3 linked regions of the Caenorhabditis elegans genome follow. The protein of the gene in region 1 purifies or fractionates together with the protein of each later gene. This does not show direct contact. Each region holds a gene or a part of one and is shown in the gene's direction. Other genes may lie near its edges.

Region 1 (7,794 bases):
TTCCCCAATAATTTAGAGCGAAAAGCGCGTGATATTCAGTTTTTGGGGGAAAAATCGTATTTTAATACAATTTTTCCTGATTTTTCTGAAAAAATCTTGGATTTCGGCTGAAAAAACACAATTTTTGTGCAATTTTCGTTGATTTCAATGACTTTTCAGTAATATAACGCTACTTTTACACTGAAATGTTAAAAAAAATCCCGATTTTCGTCCAAATTGTGTGAAATTTCAACGGAAATTCAGATTTTCACATTAAAAATTCGCCAATTAATCCATATTTTCGCTCGAAATTCGTCGCATTTTGTACCTTGGTGCCTCCGTATTCTGGGAGAAGGACACGATCTCCTGGCTTCACAGTCAATGCGACGAGCTCTCCCTTCTCGTTGCGAAGTCCGGCTCCGGCAGAGACGACGGTGGCTTCAAGGACCTGAAATATTCGAAAATTAGGTGGAAATTGCTTTAATTTGAGTGAAAATTCGGTAATTTCGGATAAAAATTGGACAAAAACCTCCGCGAGCAGTCGGAGAGCGTGTTGGCAGGGAAAATCGATAATTGCATCATTACACCAGACTTTACGGAATTTTCGGTGAAAATTAACATTTTTCGTATAAAATTGAAGGTTTTTAGCTAGAAACTGTGTTTTAGACGCCAAGTTGCACCATTTTGACGGTGAAATTGGCATTTTTGTGCTAGAAATCTGCTCCAAGACGTTGAAATTTATCAGTTTTCACCTGAAAAATCAATTTTTAGGCCAAAAATTGCTCACTTTTCCCTGTGACTTCTCCGGGAGCATGATTCCTCCCTTTGTCTTGGTCTCGGCGGCGACTCTCTCGACGAGCACACGATCATAGAGTGGCTTGAAGGTCTTGAGGACATTGCTCTGCAAAAAAATACGCGTTTAATTCGGAGAAAACACCGGGAAAATAGCTTACCGATCGGCGGACAGCGGTGAGGAACATTTTTCGGCTGAAAAATTGGTTTTTTGAGTTTTAAAATTTATTTTTAGCGGGAAATTACATGAAAACAACGAAAAAACCCGAAGAAACCCGCGAAAATTCAGAAAATGATCAAAAAACCAAAAGAAGCTTCGAGAAAAAAAGCAGAAAATAAATGTGCGGCGCGAAAAATCTCGTGCGGCAAACTTGCAAATCTAGGCGTGTCGGGCCAATGGCAGACACCGCGCCGCAAATTCAGCCAATCAGCGCGCTCAGCTCCACCTAGAAAAGTGTGCGCACCTTGCAAAACTGGGCGGAGCGAGTGAAATGATGCAAAAGTCTATTCTGATGTAAATTAGCCATTTTACATCAAAATTTGCGTCATTTTCGTTATTTTTCTCTCATTTTTCATATTTTGAACGAAAAATTGAGGTTTTTTGCTTCTATTTTCATCAGAAACCATTGAAAAATGCTTATTTTTGGGCCATTTTTCGTCGAAATTAGGGGAAAAAACTATTCTACAGTTTTCCCAGCTATTTTCTCATTTATTCCTGTATTTTTCAGTCATTACCTGCTTCCCAGACGATAATGCAAGGCTTCTCGCTTCATTTTCATAAAAAACGATTGAAAAATGCTTATTTATAGGCCATTTATCGTCTAAATTAGGGGAAATATCTGTTTTACCGTTTTCCCAGCCGATTTCTCATCCATTCTCGTTATTTTTCACTCCTTTTCTGCTTCTCAGACGATAATGCAAGGCTTCTCGCTTCATTTTCGATGAGAAACTCTGATTTTGCTCGCATTTTCGCCTTTCCGCTGCAGATTTTCACACAATTTTCGTAGTTTTTCAGACACAAAAGATGCTTCGCCTCGCCAGAAAGGGACTTCAGACCGCCGTCGTCAGATCTTACGCCAAGGACGTCAAGTTCGGAGCCGAAGGACGACAGGCCATGCTCGTCGGAGTCAACCTGCTCGCCGACGCCGTCTCTGTCACTATGGGCCCAAAAGTACGGGGATTTTGATGTGAAAATTGAGGAAAAAATGCTGTAAAAAAATCTATTTTAACGTATTTTTATACACAAAACTTCCGGTTTAATGCAAAATTTAATTTTTTTTTCTTCATAAATACAGCCTCTAAAACTCCAAACTCTTTCAGGGAAGAAACGTGATCATCGAGCAGTCGTGGGGAAGCCCAAAGATCACAAAGGACGGAGTCACCGTCGCGAAATCCATCGACCTCAAGGACAAATACCAGAACCTGGGAGCCAAGCTCATTCAAGATGTCGCCAACAAGGCTAATGAGGAGGCTGGAGACGGAACCACCTGCGCCACAGTTCTCGCCAGAGCCATCGCCAAAGAGGGATTCGAGAGCATTCGTCAAGGCGGAAACGCTGTCGAGATCCGTCGTGGAGTCATGAACGCCGTCGAAGTCGTCGTTGCAGAGCTCAAGAAGATCTCCAAGAAGGTTAATACCGGGAAATTGTGGATTTAAATTCAAAAGCCACAGTGATTTTTGGAAAAATTGGGATTTTTGACCCAATTTTGAAGCGATTTTCATTTGATGTTAGAGGAAAAACTAGAATTTCGCTCAAATCTGCTTGAAAATCGCGAATTTGTGGCTAAAATCAGTTGCCAGGAATTCAAAATCTTCAAAAAACCGTCATTTTTTCCCAATTCGGGCCATAAAGCTTATTTGTTCGACGGAAAAACCTTCATATTCCGGAAAACTGACAAAATTTCACTGATTTGCTCTGAAAATCTTGAAAAACCGTCATTTTTCCCCTACTCAGGACGAAAAGCTTATTGTTTGACGGAAAAACCCGAATATTCCCGAAAAATTACAAATTTTCACTGATTTGTCTCGAAAAACCTTGAAAATTCAAAAAGTTCGCCAAAATGTGGTGCTTTTTGGAACAATTGGCAGCTCTGATGCAATTTTTCATTCAATGTTGGCCTGAAAAGCTGAAAATATCGAATTTTTGGCCAAAATCAATAAAAACCCGCAATTTTCCCCAATTCAGGACGAAAGCACCTAATATCCCGGAAAATTTGCAAAATTTCGTGTTTTTTCAAACAGTTGTGAGCTCTGATCCAATTTTGAAGCGGTATTCATTCAATGTTGGCCTGAAAAGCTGAAAATATCGAATTTTTGGCCAAAATCCATAGAAACCCCGCAATTTTTACCCAATTCAGAACGAAAATCTTATTTTGTTTGACGGAAAAACCTTAAAAATCCGGAAAGCTGACAAAATTTCACTGATTTGCCCTGAAAAACCTTGAAAAGCCACTATTTTTTACCCAATTCAGGACGAAAAGCTTGTTGTTTGAATGAAAAAGCCCTAATATCCCGAAAAAATGGCCAAAAATTCACAGATTTGTAGGGAAATCGCGACTATTTCTGACTATATTTGCTCGATATACCTGAATTTTTACTTGTTTTAAACCAAAAATCGCGCCTAGAAACCTAAAAAATCAGAAAAAAAACTAAATTTAGCAATAATTTAACTAAAAAAAACTTGTTCCTGCAGGTCACCACCCCCGAAGAGATCGCTCAAGTCGCCACAATTTCCGCCAATGGAGACACCGTCGTCGGAAATCTCATCAGTGACGCCATGAAGAAGGTCGGAACCACTGGAGTCATCACTGTTAAGGACGGAAAAACGCTGAACGATGAGCTCGAGCTTATCGAGGGAATGAAGTTCGACAGAGGATACATCTCGCCGTACTTTATCACCTCTGCGAAAGGAGCTAAAGTCGAGTACGAGAAGGCTCTTGTCTTGTTGAGCGAGAAGAAGATCAGCCAAGTTCAGGATATTGTGCCGGCTCTTGAGCTCGCCAACAAGCTCCGCCGTCCATTGGTTATCATTGCCGAGGATGTTGATGGAGAGGCTCTTACCACTCTTGTTCTTAATAGACTTAAGGTACAGACGACAAGAAGCGAAAAACTGCAAATTTTGTCGAAAACCAGCGTTGAAACTCCATTTTTTGACGGAAATTCGCGTTATTTCGATTATTGCCCCCAAATACGGAGAAAAATGCGAAATTTGCTGAAACCCGACGTTTTCTTGATTAGTTTACCCCCAAATACGAAAAAAAAGTACAAAATTCGAAATTTTCAGCCAGGAATTTGGATTTCTCTTGAAATTTTGAATTTTTCAGCCAGGAATTTGGATTTTCCCTGAAATTTTGAATTTTTCAGCCAAAAATTTGGATTTTTCTTGAAAACTTCAATTTTTCAGCCAAGAATTTGGATTTCTCCTGAAATGTTGAATTTTCCACCCAAAAATTTTGATTCTTCTTGAAATTCGAACTTTCCAGCCAAAATTTTTCGCAATTTCGACTGAAAAATTCGTTTAAAAGCCGAAAATTACTGTTTTTCGGATCAGTTTCAGCTTGATTTTACAAACTTTTGGAAACTACAGATTTCTGCCGGAAATTACTTATTTTGGCATTAAAAACTTTTAATATCCCGATTTTTGGTTCGAAAAAATGTGTTTTTTTGCCAATTTCGACTGAAAAATGGCTAAAAATGCTGCAAAAATTTTGTATTCGTCCAAAAAATCCCCGGAAATTCACGTTTTTAGCCTAGAAAACTTGAATTTTTATCAGAAAATTCAAGTTCAAAGAACCGCGAGCATTTTTTGATCAGTGATGTTTGTTAGCAGCAGGAGGCTACTCGCAACAAAATACGAGCGACCTTGATTAGAGAATGATAATATATCTTCTTTTTCTTATCAGTTGAGAGAGTTTTACAAATTTTACGGCAAGAAAATAGAAAAAAAGCAGAAGAAACTAGGGATTCAGCAAGAAAATCGCCAGGAAATTTCATAATTTCCTGGATTTTCTCCAAAAACATGAAGATTTCACCTGAAAATCGCGCTAAATTAAAGTTAATTAATGTGTTTTACACTGAAAAACCTTTAAAACCGCAGAATTTTCTTCCAGGTCGGATTTATTCAGTATTCTACATAATTTTCCATTTTTATCAGTGAAAAAGTGCGCATTGACTTCTGAGAAAGTCTATTTTTGCTATTTTTGCTAAAAAATACATATTTTCACTGAAAAACCTCTAAACTCCATCATTTTCCACGATTTTAAGTTTAAAAAAAAACTAATTTTTCACTAAAAACCCTGTAAAACCGCAGAATTTTCTCTTCCAGGTCGGACTTCAAGTCGTCGCAATCAAGGCTCCAGGATTCGGAGATAACCGCAAGAACACGCTCAAGGATATGGGAATTGCGACGGGAGCAACGATCTTTGGAGATGACTCGAATCTCATTAAGATCGAGGATATCACAGCCAACGATCTCGGAGAAGTCGATGAGGTCACCATCACCAAGGACGATACTCTTCTTCTTCGCGGGCGTGGAGATCAAACAGAGATCGAGAAGCGAATCGAGCACATCACCGATGAAATTGAGCAATCGACGAGCGATTACGAGAAGGAGAAGCTTAATGAGCGTCTCGCCAAGTTGAGCAAGGGAGTCGCTGTGCTCAAGATTGGAGGAGGATCTGAAGTTGAAGTTGGAGAGAAGAAGGTGTGCGGAATTTGGCTGAAATTGGAGAAAAATTGAAGAAAAACTGGCTATTTTCCGTGGGAAAATGATCAAAATCCGTTCATTTTTGAGCTTTTTTTAGCAGAAAATTGGTTTAAAAAAACCTCAATTTCTACCAGATTTTTGTCGAGAAACCTGATTTTAAAACCTTTTTTGTGCCGTTTGTGCCATTGGAAACTCGTTAAAACTCAGTTTTTTATTTTTATTTGCAACAAAACGCAAGATTCTCTTTGTGCTCCTTTCGAGTAAAATTTATGGTAAATTCCCCCATTTTTGTGAAAGAAACCCACTAAATCTGCAGATTTTTCTTGAAAATTTAAATTTTTATTTAAACAATCTGACTTTTTCTTACAAATTTGAATTTTTTTAGCCAAAAATCTGAATTTTTCAGCCAAAAATTTGAATTTTTCTTGAAAATTTGATTTTTTCAGCCAAAAATTTGGATTTTTCTTGAAAGTTAGAATTTTTTAGTCGATCATTTTCAGCTTGATTTTGCCGTGTAAACTACAGATTTCTGCCGGAAAACATTAAAATTTGCGATTTTAGCAATTTCCAGCCGATTTTTGGTTCGAAAAAATGGCTATTTTGCCAATTTGAATTTTTCAGACAAAATTTTGCATTTTCCTTAAAAATTTGATATTTTCAGCCAAAAAATTGGATTTTCCCTGAAAATTTGATATTTTCAGCCAAAAATATGGATGTTTCTTAAAATTCGAACTTTCTAGCCGAAATTTTTCGCAATTGCCACTTAAAATTTTGTTGTTAGAAGCCGAAAATAACTGTTTTTTTCGCAATTTCAACTGAAAAAATTGATAAAAAAACGCGGAAAAAACTGTTAAATTGATTTTTCCCGCTGAGCATGCTCAAAAATAGCAGAAATTTTGGTTTTCCTGCGCGGAAAAATCTTGATTTCCACCAGATTTTATCGGTTTTCTGCAATTTTTTGTATGATTTTTCATCAATTTTTTTTTCATTACAGGACCGTGTCACCGATGCTCTGTGTGCCACGCGTGCCGCTGTCGAAGAAGGAATCGTTCCAGGAGGAGGTGTTGCTCTTCTCAGATCTCTGACAGCACTCAAAAACTACAAAGCAGCCAACGAGGATCAACAGATCGGTGTGAATATCGTCAAGAAGGCTCTCACTCAGCCAATCGCCACAATCGTCAAAAATGCCGGTCTTGAGCCATCGTCGATTATTGATGAAGTCACCGGAAACAGCAATACATCATATGGTTATGATGCGCTCAACGGAAAGTTCGTTGACATGTTCGAGGCTGGAATTATCGATCCAACTAAGGTATATACAGCGTCAAAAATTTGAATTTTTCGTGAAAATTTGAATTTTTGAGACAAAAATTTTGGATTTACCTCCAAAATTTGAATTTTTAGCCAAAAAATTTGAATTTTTCGTGAAAATTTGAATTTTTGAGCCAAAAATTTGGATTTTCCTCCAAAATTTTAATGTTTTAGCCAAAAATTGCATTATTTCACTGAAAATTTTCATTTTTAAGCCAAAAATTAGGAATTTTCTTGAAAATTTGAAGTTTTCAGGCGGAAAATTTGGATTTTACGTGAAAATTTAAATTTTTCAGCCAAAAATTGGAGTTTTTCAGCAGAAATTATTTGAAAGTAGTTCAAAAATTGGTCAAAAAATGGAAAAAAATTGCTTCTGGCCGTCTTTTTTTTTTTTTTGGAAAAAAAAACCCTGAAAATTCAACATTTCAAGAAAAATCGAAAATTTTTATGCAAAAAAAAATCTCCCCAAAAACCGCAATTTTCCAAATTTCCAGGTGGTTCGCACAGCTCTCCAAGATGCTTCAGGAGTCGCCTCACTTCTCGCCACAACCGAATGCGTAGTCACCGAAATTCCAAAGGAAGAAGCAGTTGGTGGACCAGCCGGTGGAATGGGTGGAATGGGTGGAATGGGCGGTATGGGAGGAATGGGATTCTAAGCTCTCAATCTCTCATTGAAATAACGACACCGATGGATTGATTTTCTCTCTAAAACACTGGTTTTTGCTCAATTTTGTCGTTTTTCCCATCATTTTTTCCCCAAAAATTTCCCCAAAAAAATTATGATCTTTTGTGCTCTGAGCCATTTGTTTTTTTCTTGTTTTACGGCTCTTTTTCCCCTTTTTTTGATGATAACTTTTCAATGGTGTTTTTTTTTTTAATTTTTTCGCAATTTTAGGACCTCAATTTTTTTTAGTTTAGTGTTTTTCCCCTTGTTTTTAGAGTATAATATATAGAATCTCCTTGTTTTTTTTTTCCGTTTTTTTCTTTGTTTTCACTCTCCTCCCCAC
Region 2 (4,649 bases), on another chromosome or scaffold:
TTGTTCACTTGCAACGGCGACATGATTGCCGTCTATGTTCATGGAGTTGATGAAGCAAACCAAAAGTTCAGAAGACAAGAAATTGTCATCTGCAATGGTAATATACGCTTACTTGTTTAATTGTGCAAGAAATTTTTCAGGACGTAGCCCAACAACCAACCAGCCAGCAACAGGAACAATTGGCCCAATCACCATGCCAACTCAACAAACCGCGCTGACTCAAGGTCCAGTAACTCAGCAAACTCAAGTCCCAGGAACTCAACCAACTCAGGGACCAGTCGCCACGGTAAATTTCAAGTATTACTGGTGATTTAGAAATTCTGAACTTACAGACCCAAAATCCATACACATCCGCTCAGTTTGATGTTGTATTTATGATCGATGGATCACAAAGTGCACAATCCAGCTTTGACTCGGTATACATTATATGCCCTTTATGTTTCCATCATATGAATTTCAGCTCACCAAATTTGTTCAAACATTCATGGTTTCGTTCAATGTTGGCCAGAGTGGAGCTCGTGTTGGATTAATTGTCGTCGGAGGTGATATCACAAACCCAATTCCTCCTGCTGCCAATCTGAACTCCCTCTCCTCTCAAGCAATGTTGAACTCTAACTTGGCCCAACTCAGCGGTGGCTACACTGACTTTGAAGACGCCGGGCAAATTCTTAACTACACTCTTCAAATTGTGTCTTCTCCCGATTTCATGGCGGCGAACAATGGTTACCGTAGTGGCATTAGCAACCATGTGTTGATCTACCTTACTACAACTACTGCGTAAGTGTTCAAAAGATTGCCAGATAAAATTAATATTTTTTAGCTTCGACACCGATCCAACTCCGGCAGCTCAGACAATTCTCGCGCAGAAGCAATACGGAATCATCACTATTGGTTATGGTGGCGCGACTGATAACAACAAGTTGCAAACTATTTCCGGAGGAAGTGCTTGCTCGTTTACAGCTCCAGATTTTGCTAGTTTGAATAACCAAATTAAGACCATTCAGCAACTTATCCTCAATGCCAAGTAAGATATATAAGTGTGTTCATTAAGTGAAATGTTCTTATTTTCAGCGCCAATGGAGGTGTCTACTGTATCAACAACTAAGGCAGTCGACCCGGAAATCACTGAAATAATTTGAATTTTAATAAACTTATCATTATTTAACAATTTATGTGTTGGACCGAAAAATCAAAATTACGAGAGAAAAAATATAATACAAAAGTGAAATGTGATGGCAATTCAATAAACTTTACTAGTGGTTGAACTTCAAGTCGAAATCATCAGAAAGTGCTTGATAATAATTTGATGATACAAAATCGTATTCTGTGACATTATTCTGCTACTACTCAATTAGAATGCAAAGGGCGTGGAATAAATTTTAATACTGTTTGAGATGGCAAAGATAAGAGTTTGCCACGGTGATATGACGTGCCGGACACACTCTCCTTTTGCGATTAAAAAGGGTTTAAATCATTATTTCATGATAATTTCATTAGATTTGCCAGGCTGCTCCTGCCTTTTCACATTCATTTTCAGAACTCAATACCTTTTACGATATTTAGTTTTTTTGGAGTTTAAGAGCAATTAAATTAATGTGAAATTTCAGTAATGAGAAGCTGGGTTTTGATTGCGGCGTTAGCCGTGATCTGCCTGGGCGCTGAGCCTGAGCTCAGTCACAAAGAGAGAATCCGCAAAGTCTTAAAGTCATGGAACCCGGCCAACAGTAATCAACTCTTCCACCCAGTCAGTGAACAGAAGATTCAATTCGATGAGCAGTCCGATCTCTTTGTAAGTTCTAGATTTCGTTTAACTATGTTCCATATATGGTTTCAGGTTGATACTCATCATATCTCCAAAAGATCTATCGCCGAGCCTCATGTTTTTGCTGGAATGGCCACCAGAGGATGTAACAAGCCAGGATACACAGGAGCCACCTGTCAATATCGTAAGTCGGATCACATATGTGTTTTTAAACTAAAAATGCAATTTCTTAGCATTGTGCTCTGCTCGCAATCCTTACATTCCTGATAACAAGGATTCTGACGATATCTCTATTGATGCAACAAATCTTGCAAACTGCAGTCAAACATACGTCGTTGTTGTTGATGAGACCATGCGGAATATCAAAATTGAGGTCGAAACTGAGTCACCATTGAATCCAACTTTCTACCTCCAATCTGAGAGTGGAGATCTGATCTTCCCTGACACTGACAGAAAAACCGTAACTTCCTATGTGGCAACATATGAGACTTTAGCGCCAGGCCAGTATCTTCTCGGACCAAGAGCTGATTCTGGAGATGAATTTTGTACTATGATGATGACCGCTCATACCAATATTCAAGTTACTGGAGGTTTTACATCAGGCGATCAACCAGAGCGCAGCGACTATCCAACCCTCAAGTTTGCCTATTTTGACACTGAATCAGCTGTTGTTCTTCATGCACAAGGACTACACTTTCCCGGTCAAATTCAGGCGATTGGATTCACTGGCGCCGAGAACCATATCTCAAGATACATTCCTATGGCAACTCGCTTCAATTGTACTTATCCATATATTTTGGAGAGGTATACTTGCAGAAAAATTGGAAATAACGATATTGGGCACAATTTATTACAGGTAAGTGCAATGAATTGATATAAATTGCAATCATAAAAGTTCAGGTTGAAGGAATGAGCGATAACGGATACGTTTTCCGTCGTATTCTGCCCTACCAATGTATTTGTAAGTGAACGTAGTTGACAACAATAATCAACCTGAGTAATTTAGTGCCACCAGTGTCTACCACCACTGTCCCTGCTCCAACAACAACCGCTGCTCCATTGACAACCTGCCAGAACGGAGGTCAAGTTTTGAAGGATTCCAGTGGTTCACCATACTGTTACTGTTTTGGACTATACACCGGACGTGACTGTTCTCAGATGTTGTGTGCTAATGGAGGTGAATACTGTAACTAGAGCTGTTAAATAGAAAACGCTATGTTGCCATTGATGTGCTACATGGTTGATAACACAAAGACAACCTTCTAAAAAGGACACTTTTTTGAGCCAGCCTAAATTGGTCATCAAATATTTTATTTTTCAGGATTCCTTCCAACTCCCACAAGCGAACATTGTGAATGTCCAGAAGGATTCACCGGTTTCCACTGTCAAAATAGTAAGTCGCCTCGGAAAATAAACTGATCACAAATGCATTACAGTTGTCTGCCCTGGTGCATCCGGAATTGATTTCAATGCTGAAAACCCGACTGTTACTCTGGTCATTCGTTCTAGAAGCCAATTGTCAGATGTTATTCAACAGGCCACAAATTCAGTTTCAAGAATTGTCGATGAACTATCTGCCGAGCCTGGCTATCTCACTAATTTCATCGTTGTGCTCTTTGATAACGCCAGTGAGTTGATTTGCAACTAATTTACCGGGGTGGCTCCCATAAGCCTACCTTCTTATCAGGAAACGGTAATGCATTATATTTTAATTTTTAGAGCTTTTGGTAAACCAGAGATATGACTCATGGGATGCCGCTATGGTTGATCTACTTAAAGCGATTAACTCTGCCCCATCCGACGGTGGATGTGATGATGTTGTTTTCTCTGCTGTTGCGTAAGTATCGACTAGTTTTTCAATGTTTTACAGAATCTTCATGGTTGTTTTACAGATCTGCTCTTTCTCTTTATCCAACTAACAAATCACCAATCTATGTAATCACTGATGCCAATCCAAATGATAGCACTGAGAAGCAAACAATTGTACACTTGGAATCTTATTGGAGAGCACCAGTATGGAAAATTTATTAAATTTAAAGTTATTCGAAAATACCAGAATGTTTCAGGTCTACTTCATTTACGTGCAACCAGCAATTGGAAGTGGCTGCAATACTTCACCCGATAGTGCTGGGTACAGAGATATGGTCGATATGGCTGCGATGTCCAGCGGAAACACGTTCTACTTTAACAACAGAACCACTATCTCCAACGTATGTTTCTTTAATTCTTTAATATTAATGCATTATATTTTAAGTTCTTCTACGTTCATATGTACAACACGTTGTTCCGCTCTCAACTTGCTCTATCTGGAGATTACTCTCACTGTGCTAATCAAAACATCTACAAATCGGTTGCAGTTGACGTGACTGCTGATCAAGTTGTCGTTGTTGCTACAGGATCTAACTTGAAACTTCAAGTCACAACCCCAACCGGAGCACACCCTGACTTCTTTGTTGCATTCAATGATGGTGTTAACTACATTTGGACCTCCAACCAAATCTTCGCTGGACAATGGTTCTTCAATTTGGTTTCCGACTCACCAAACTCTGCGTGTACCTTCAAAGTATACCAGAAGAAGTATAACCTTGGTGGAATGAGCCAATACAATCCAGACTATGACATTTTCTGGTCTTTCGCAACTACCCTCACTTCTGCAGCCGGAGTTCTCCGCCAACCAGTTGCTGGTTTTGATGCTTCTCCTGTTTTCCATGTTTCCAACTACCCCGAATTCATTTCTATGGACCGCGTGCACGCCAATCTTCAGATTTATGCTATCCGCGACGGAGTTCAAACAGAGGTTTACGGATCAAGTGGAATGTACAGAGATGCTTGTGAATTCCACTTCTACTTCCCACCATTCATCTGTAATGTCCCCGATGAAGTTCTT
Region 3 (4,703 bases), on another chromosome or scaffold:
TAAGCTGGCTTGCGAAGTTCATTCCGGACTGAAAATTTACAATTTTAAGTCTTTTCTTTACAAATAAATTTTTTAAATATACCGCAACCGGGAAATAAGCCACAGTCTCGTGGCCCTGTGTGACATGAGATCGCAGTGCACAACTTCCACAAAGCGCCAACGATTTGATATCCAAATCCACCTTAAAAAATCATTTTTCAATTTTTTTTTTTTTTTTGAAATTGGATATTTTCCGGACCTCGGCACCCAAATTCTCCACGACGTCGTATTTGAAGGCATCAGTGACGCAATTGCGGCAGACGAACATGCTGGAAATTGAATTTTTTTGTTATTTCTAATTAAAAGAGGCCTACTCCGATTCGTTGTCGTATTTGGTGCATTGAGTGCAGTCCACTGCATTTGCAGGCTTCTTTGGCTTCTCACGAAGCTTTTGGATCATGGTCACAGCATCTGAAAAATAGTTTTTTTCGGGAAATATGAATATTTTTAAAACTTGTCAATGCAAAGTTTTTTGTTCGCTTCTCCTTGCTAACCACGGCCTGAAATTATTTTATTTTTAAACAGATATCAATATATTTAAGCCATACGCGGCATGTCGGGCATTGTGTCTGGCCACCAGATCCATATGCGTCAGAATAATCGCTTTTCAAGTGCACAATGCAAGTTTCGCATAGAGAATGGCCACAAGATATGATGAATGGAGCCTTTTGATCATCTGAAAATAAAAATGTGCTTGTTTTACAATAAAAATTGGGATATTTTTCACCAAATTCTTCCTGGCACACAGGGCAAGTCGGGAGTTCTTCATTAACATCCATTTTTCTCGAAAATTCTGAAAAATAAAGTTTTTTAAATTAGAAAAATCAATATTTTTAAATTTTCGTTATTTTTAATCGTCGAATAATTGAAATTTTCGTTTAAAATTAAGGAAAAACAATTTATACAATTTATATCCGGAAAAATTAATGTTTTTGCAAATATTTGAGTTTCAAGCGTTTTCGCTTCAAGTCTCAAGGAGGATAATGTGCTTGCGCCTTTAAAAACTACAGTAAGACCTTTGTTTATTTCGTCATCGAATTTCAATGTTTTGAATCAAATTTCCCGTGATTCCGGTTTGATTTTCACAATTTTATTATGTTTTTACACTATTTAATGAATTTTAATTCAGTATATAATAAAATCCATAGATTATCCACACTGAAAATCTACCAATACCGTCAGTTTCTCAAAAAAAAAACATTTGCCCAAAAAATGCCTGTTTTCCATGGAAATTCACATTGATTTTTAATTTCACAACGTTTTTTTTGCCAATTTCTTTCCAAAATTTCTCAAAGTACTTTCGCAAACTAATCGTTCACTTTTGCGTCATGGCTCTGTGCACTGGAAACTAATTTCAAACGACGCGCGCATTGTCTTGTGCGATGGAGCGCGCTTGCTATTTTCTAAAAAGTGCTCAGTATTTTTGAAGCTTTATGGTTTTTCCTTGTATTTTGCATAATTTTAAACATTTTTCTCGAGAAAAAATATTCGAAAAAGTAGAAAACGGCTGAAATTTGGTTGTTTTTAATTTTTTCCCTCGTTCCTCAATCTTAAAATCGAAGATTTCGTCATCTCTCACTGTTTGCGCAGTGCATGATTATGATAATTAAATTCTATTGCAGAAATGTGGCGATTATACCGAAAAACGCCGAAGCAGCTGAGAAATTCGGTCGAATCATGCTTCAAATCTGTCAATTCCCGCCAATTTTCAGTCAGCTCATTTTCAGCAGTAGCCAAAGATGATGTAATATTACCGCCTGCCAGTATACTGAAAATTCTGAATTTTTTTGCAGAAATCCGTGCTAAAACAACAAGAAGTTCTGCATCTTCTCGCAAAAGATCAGCGATTTGAAGAGCGATTCTTCAATCAAGTACAGCAGACAATTCGATATTTCGCCTCGAAACCAAATGATTTGAAAAAGTTCTTCAGGAAGGAAGCATCGACGGATAATAAAGGTTTTCAGAGGGAAATTATCATTAATTCGAAGTTTTTTCCAGAATCTTCATCATCTTCTGACAAAAAGGACAGCAAAGGAAATAAGGGAGAGGATAATAATCCGTTTAATCAATTGTGAGGAGGAATAGACACAAAAATCGGCTAATTTTGGCTAAAATCTGAAATTTCGCCCAAATTATCATCATTTAGATGCTTTTCACCACGTTATTTTGTTTATTGAAGTCTCGGAGAAGCCCCGGAAATCATTTCTAGTCGAATTTCTTTGGAGTATTTCAAAAAATTGACTTTTACAGGTTTCCCGGGCCGTATTTTGAACTTTTTGGCAAAAATTGTCCCAAAGATCCGGAAAAAACTTGTAAAATCCAATATTTTTAAAATAAATTGGTGATTTTAGCTAAAATTAGCAGTTTTTTTAAAAAGTTTTATTGGCAGAGCAAAAACCGTGCCAGAGTTGCAAAAATTGGCGTTTTTAGCATTTTCTCCATTTTTCCAGATTTTCAAAAATCGAAAATTCGGGATTTCGGAATCATTTCAATAAAATTCAAAATTTAATGAAATCACGAATTTTCCAAATCGTTGAAAAAAAATTCCGAGAAAAAAAAAACAAAAAAACGCCCATTTTTGCAATTCTGGCACGGTTTTTTGCTCCGCCCACGATGTTTTTGAGCGGGGCACCACGTTTTCAAGATCTACGAGAAGAAGATCTACGTTTTCAGGATCTGGCACCGTGCCAAGTGCAGTTTTCGCAGTTTTCTCGAAGAAAATCGAAATAACGATGCTCCGATATTACGCATCGCGAGTTGTTTAGCGTTTTTCAGAAGTTTTTATTCAAAAAAGGTTTTTCTGACTAAACAACGTGCGATGCGTAATATCGGAGCATCGTTGCTTTTTCTTCGAGTAGACTGCGAAAACCGCAGTTGGCATGGTGCCAGATCCTGAAAATGTAGACCTCCTTTTCGTAGATCTCGTTTCCGGCTAGATCTTGAAAACGTGGTGCCTCTTTTGAGCACATTTACCTTTTCTAAGATTTAAAAGTGGGGTACCGAAATCTGGAAAATATTTTCAAATGTCTCCAAATTTTCTTCTCATTCCAAATATCGATGTGAAAAAAATCAAAACAATTTTCTAGATTTTATATGATTTTTTGAAAATAGGAAAAATCACAGTTTTCACCTAATTATTTTTGAATTTCCGCCAATTGGATTTGTTCGGTGGAGCGTGCTTGCAGTATTTTTATCAATTAATTTTTTTAAATTCTTGTTCTTTGACTGATTTTCTTCATTTTCTATGTTTTCTCCTCGGAAAATGGAAGAAATAAACAAGACAAATGCAAAATTCTTGTTAAAAAGTAATTGAAAATGAGTAAAACTGTGAAATATACTAATTTCAGGCTTGTTGCCGTCGGAACTCAGAATATCACAGTTTTACTCATTTTCAATTACTTTTTAACAAAAATGTTGCATTTGTCTTTTTTATTTCTTCCATTTTCCGAGGAAAAAACATAGAAAATGAAGAAAATCAGTCAAATAACGAGAATAAATAAAATTAATAAATAAAAATAATGCAAGTGCGCTCCACCGAACAAATTCAATTGGCGGAAATTCAAAAATAATTAGGTGAAAACTGTGATTTTTCCAATTTTCAAAAAATCATATAAAATCTGGAAAATTTTTTTGAATTTTAATATCATGATATTCGGTCAATGTGACCCCATAGGCGCGTTTTAAAGCAATTTACCCACTGAGCGTAGTCCACCTTTAAAAAAACGGAGAAAACCTCTAAAACCCCTTAAAATCAATCTAATTCCTCCAATTTTCAGCCCAGGAGGATGGCAACAAATTGCCGTTTCAGTTGGAATTCTGCTCGCTCTCTACGCCTTTATGGATTATCAGTCGTATCGTGAAATTTCCTGGAAGGAGTTTTACAGTGATTTCCTGGAAGCTGGACTTGTCGAGAGACTTGAAGTAGTTGATAAGCGATGGGTTCGAATTGTTAGCTCGTCTGGAAAGTATGCAGGAGTTAGTTTTTTAGTTTTTGCACTGAAATTCGTGAAAAAATGAATTTTTTTCTTTCAGCAAACGTGCTATTTCAACATCGGAAGTGTGGATAGCTTCGAACGGAGCCTCGGAGCTGCTCAGCATCATCTCCAGTATGATGCTGATCGACAAATTCCGGTTTTATATAAATCTGAATTCAATTTGTAAGGATTTCTGCAAAAATCACTCCATTTCAAGAAAAATTAGAGAAAAAAAGAAAAAACCCCCGATTTTCTTAAAGAAAAAGCTCTGGGAAATGGGAAAAGTTATAATTTTTGCATGAAAATTCAGAAAAACTTTTAATTTTTCACATTTTTTGTAGTTAAAATTTTGTTTTTAAAGTGAAAACCTTCAGAAAGTCACTGAAAATGAAAATTTTGCACAAAAATTATGGAAAAAGTTGCTTTTTGCTCGTTTTTTGCACTAAAATTTCAAAAAAAAAATCCGATTTTTCTGATTTTTTGCCTGAAAATTTCAAAAACAAAAATTAATTTTGCTGGTTTTTTGCAGAAAAATTTTTAAAAAAACGCAGTTAGGCTGTTTTTTGCCTAAAAATTCGAGAAAATCTCAATTTTGCTGAATTTTTGCACTAAAAGTCTTTTAAAAAATCCGATGTTTCTGATTTTTTGCCAAAAAATTCAAAAAAAAAAATTTTGCTGATTTGTTGCACT

What was found.
Region 2: the proteins of hsp-60 (region 1) and hrg-11.2 fractionate together in Caenorhabditis elegans (co-fractionation; one large-scale study listed by BioGRID). This does not show direct contact.
Region 3: the proteins of hsp-60 (region 1) and spg-7 fractionate together in Caenorhabditis elegans (co-fractionation; one large-scale study listed by BioGRID). This does not show direct contact.

Annotation. Positions count from the first base shown.
Region 1 is NC_003281.10:1,617,964-1,625,757, forward strand, and holds the start of hsp-60 (Chaperonin homolog Hsp-60, mitochondrial), read left to right. Parts: upstream 1-1,778; 5' UTR 1,779-1,795; coding exon 1,796-1,942; intron 1,943-2,091; coding exon 2,092-2,400; intron 2,401-3,463; coding exon 3,464-3,856; intron 3,857-5,095; coding exon 5,096-5,473; intron 5,474-6,470; coding exon 6,471-6,788; intron 6,789-7,281; coding exon 7,282-7,443; 3' UTR 7,444-7,794. Other genes in the region: Y22D7AL.10 (10 kDa heat shock protein, mitochondrial), read right to left, coding at 308-427, 767-880, 933-959. UniProt on the Caenorhabditis elegans protein: Implicated in mitochondrial protein import and macromolecular assembly. May facilitate the correct folding of imported proteins.
Region 2 is NC_003284.9:3,232,367-3,237,015, reverse strand, and holds the start of hrg-11.2 (C-type LECtin), read left to right. Parts: upstream 1-1,607; 5' UTR 1,608-1,609; coding exon 1,610-1,789; intron 1,790-1,834; coding exon 1,835-1,946; intron 1,947-1,995; coding exon 1,996-2,618; intron 2,619-2,662; coding exon 2,663-2,723; intron 2,724-2,768; coding exon 2,769-2,939; intron 2,940-3,083; coding exon 3,084-3,155; intron 3,156-3,198; coding exon 3,199-3,390; intron 3,391-3,481; coding exon 3,482-3,599; intron 3,600-3,654; coding exon 3,655-3,775; intron 3,776-3,828; coding exon 3,829-3,972; intron 3,973-4,016; coding exon 4,017-4,649. Other genes in the region: Protein irg-7, read left to right, coding at 1-97, 141-286, 333-416, 461-777, 821-1,024, 1,072-1,105.
Region 3 is NC_003279.8:3,465,471-3,470,173, forward strand, and holds the start of spg-7 (AFG3-like protein spg-7), read left to right. Parts: upstream 1-1,661; 5' UTR 1,662-1,663; coding exon 1,664-1,783; intron 1,784-1,832; coding exon 1,833-1,995; intron 1,996-2,037; coding exon 2,038-2,110; intron 2,111-2,651; exon of another isoform or gene 2,652-2,717; intron 2,718-3,815; coding exon 3,816-4,014; intron 4,015-4,071; coding exon 4,072-4,196; intron 4,197-4,703. Other genes in the region: Y47G6A.14 (RING-type domain-containing protein), read right to left, coding at 1-28, 83-181, 239-308, 354-450, 494-539, 588-715, 767-818.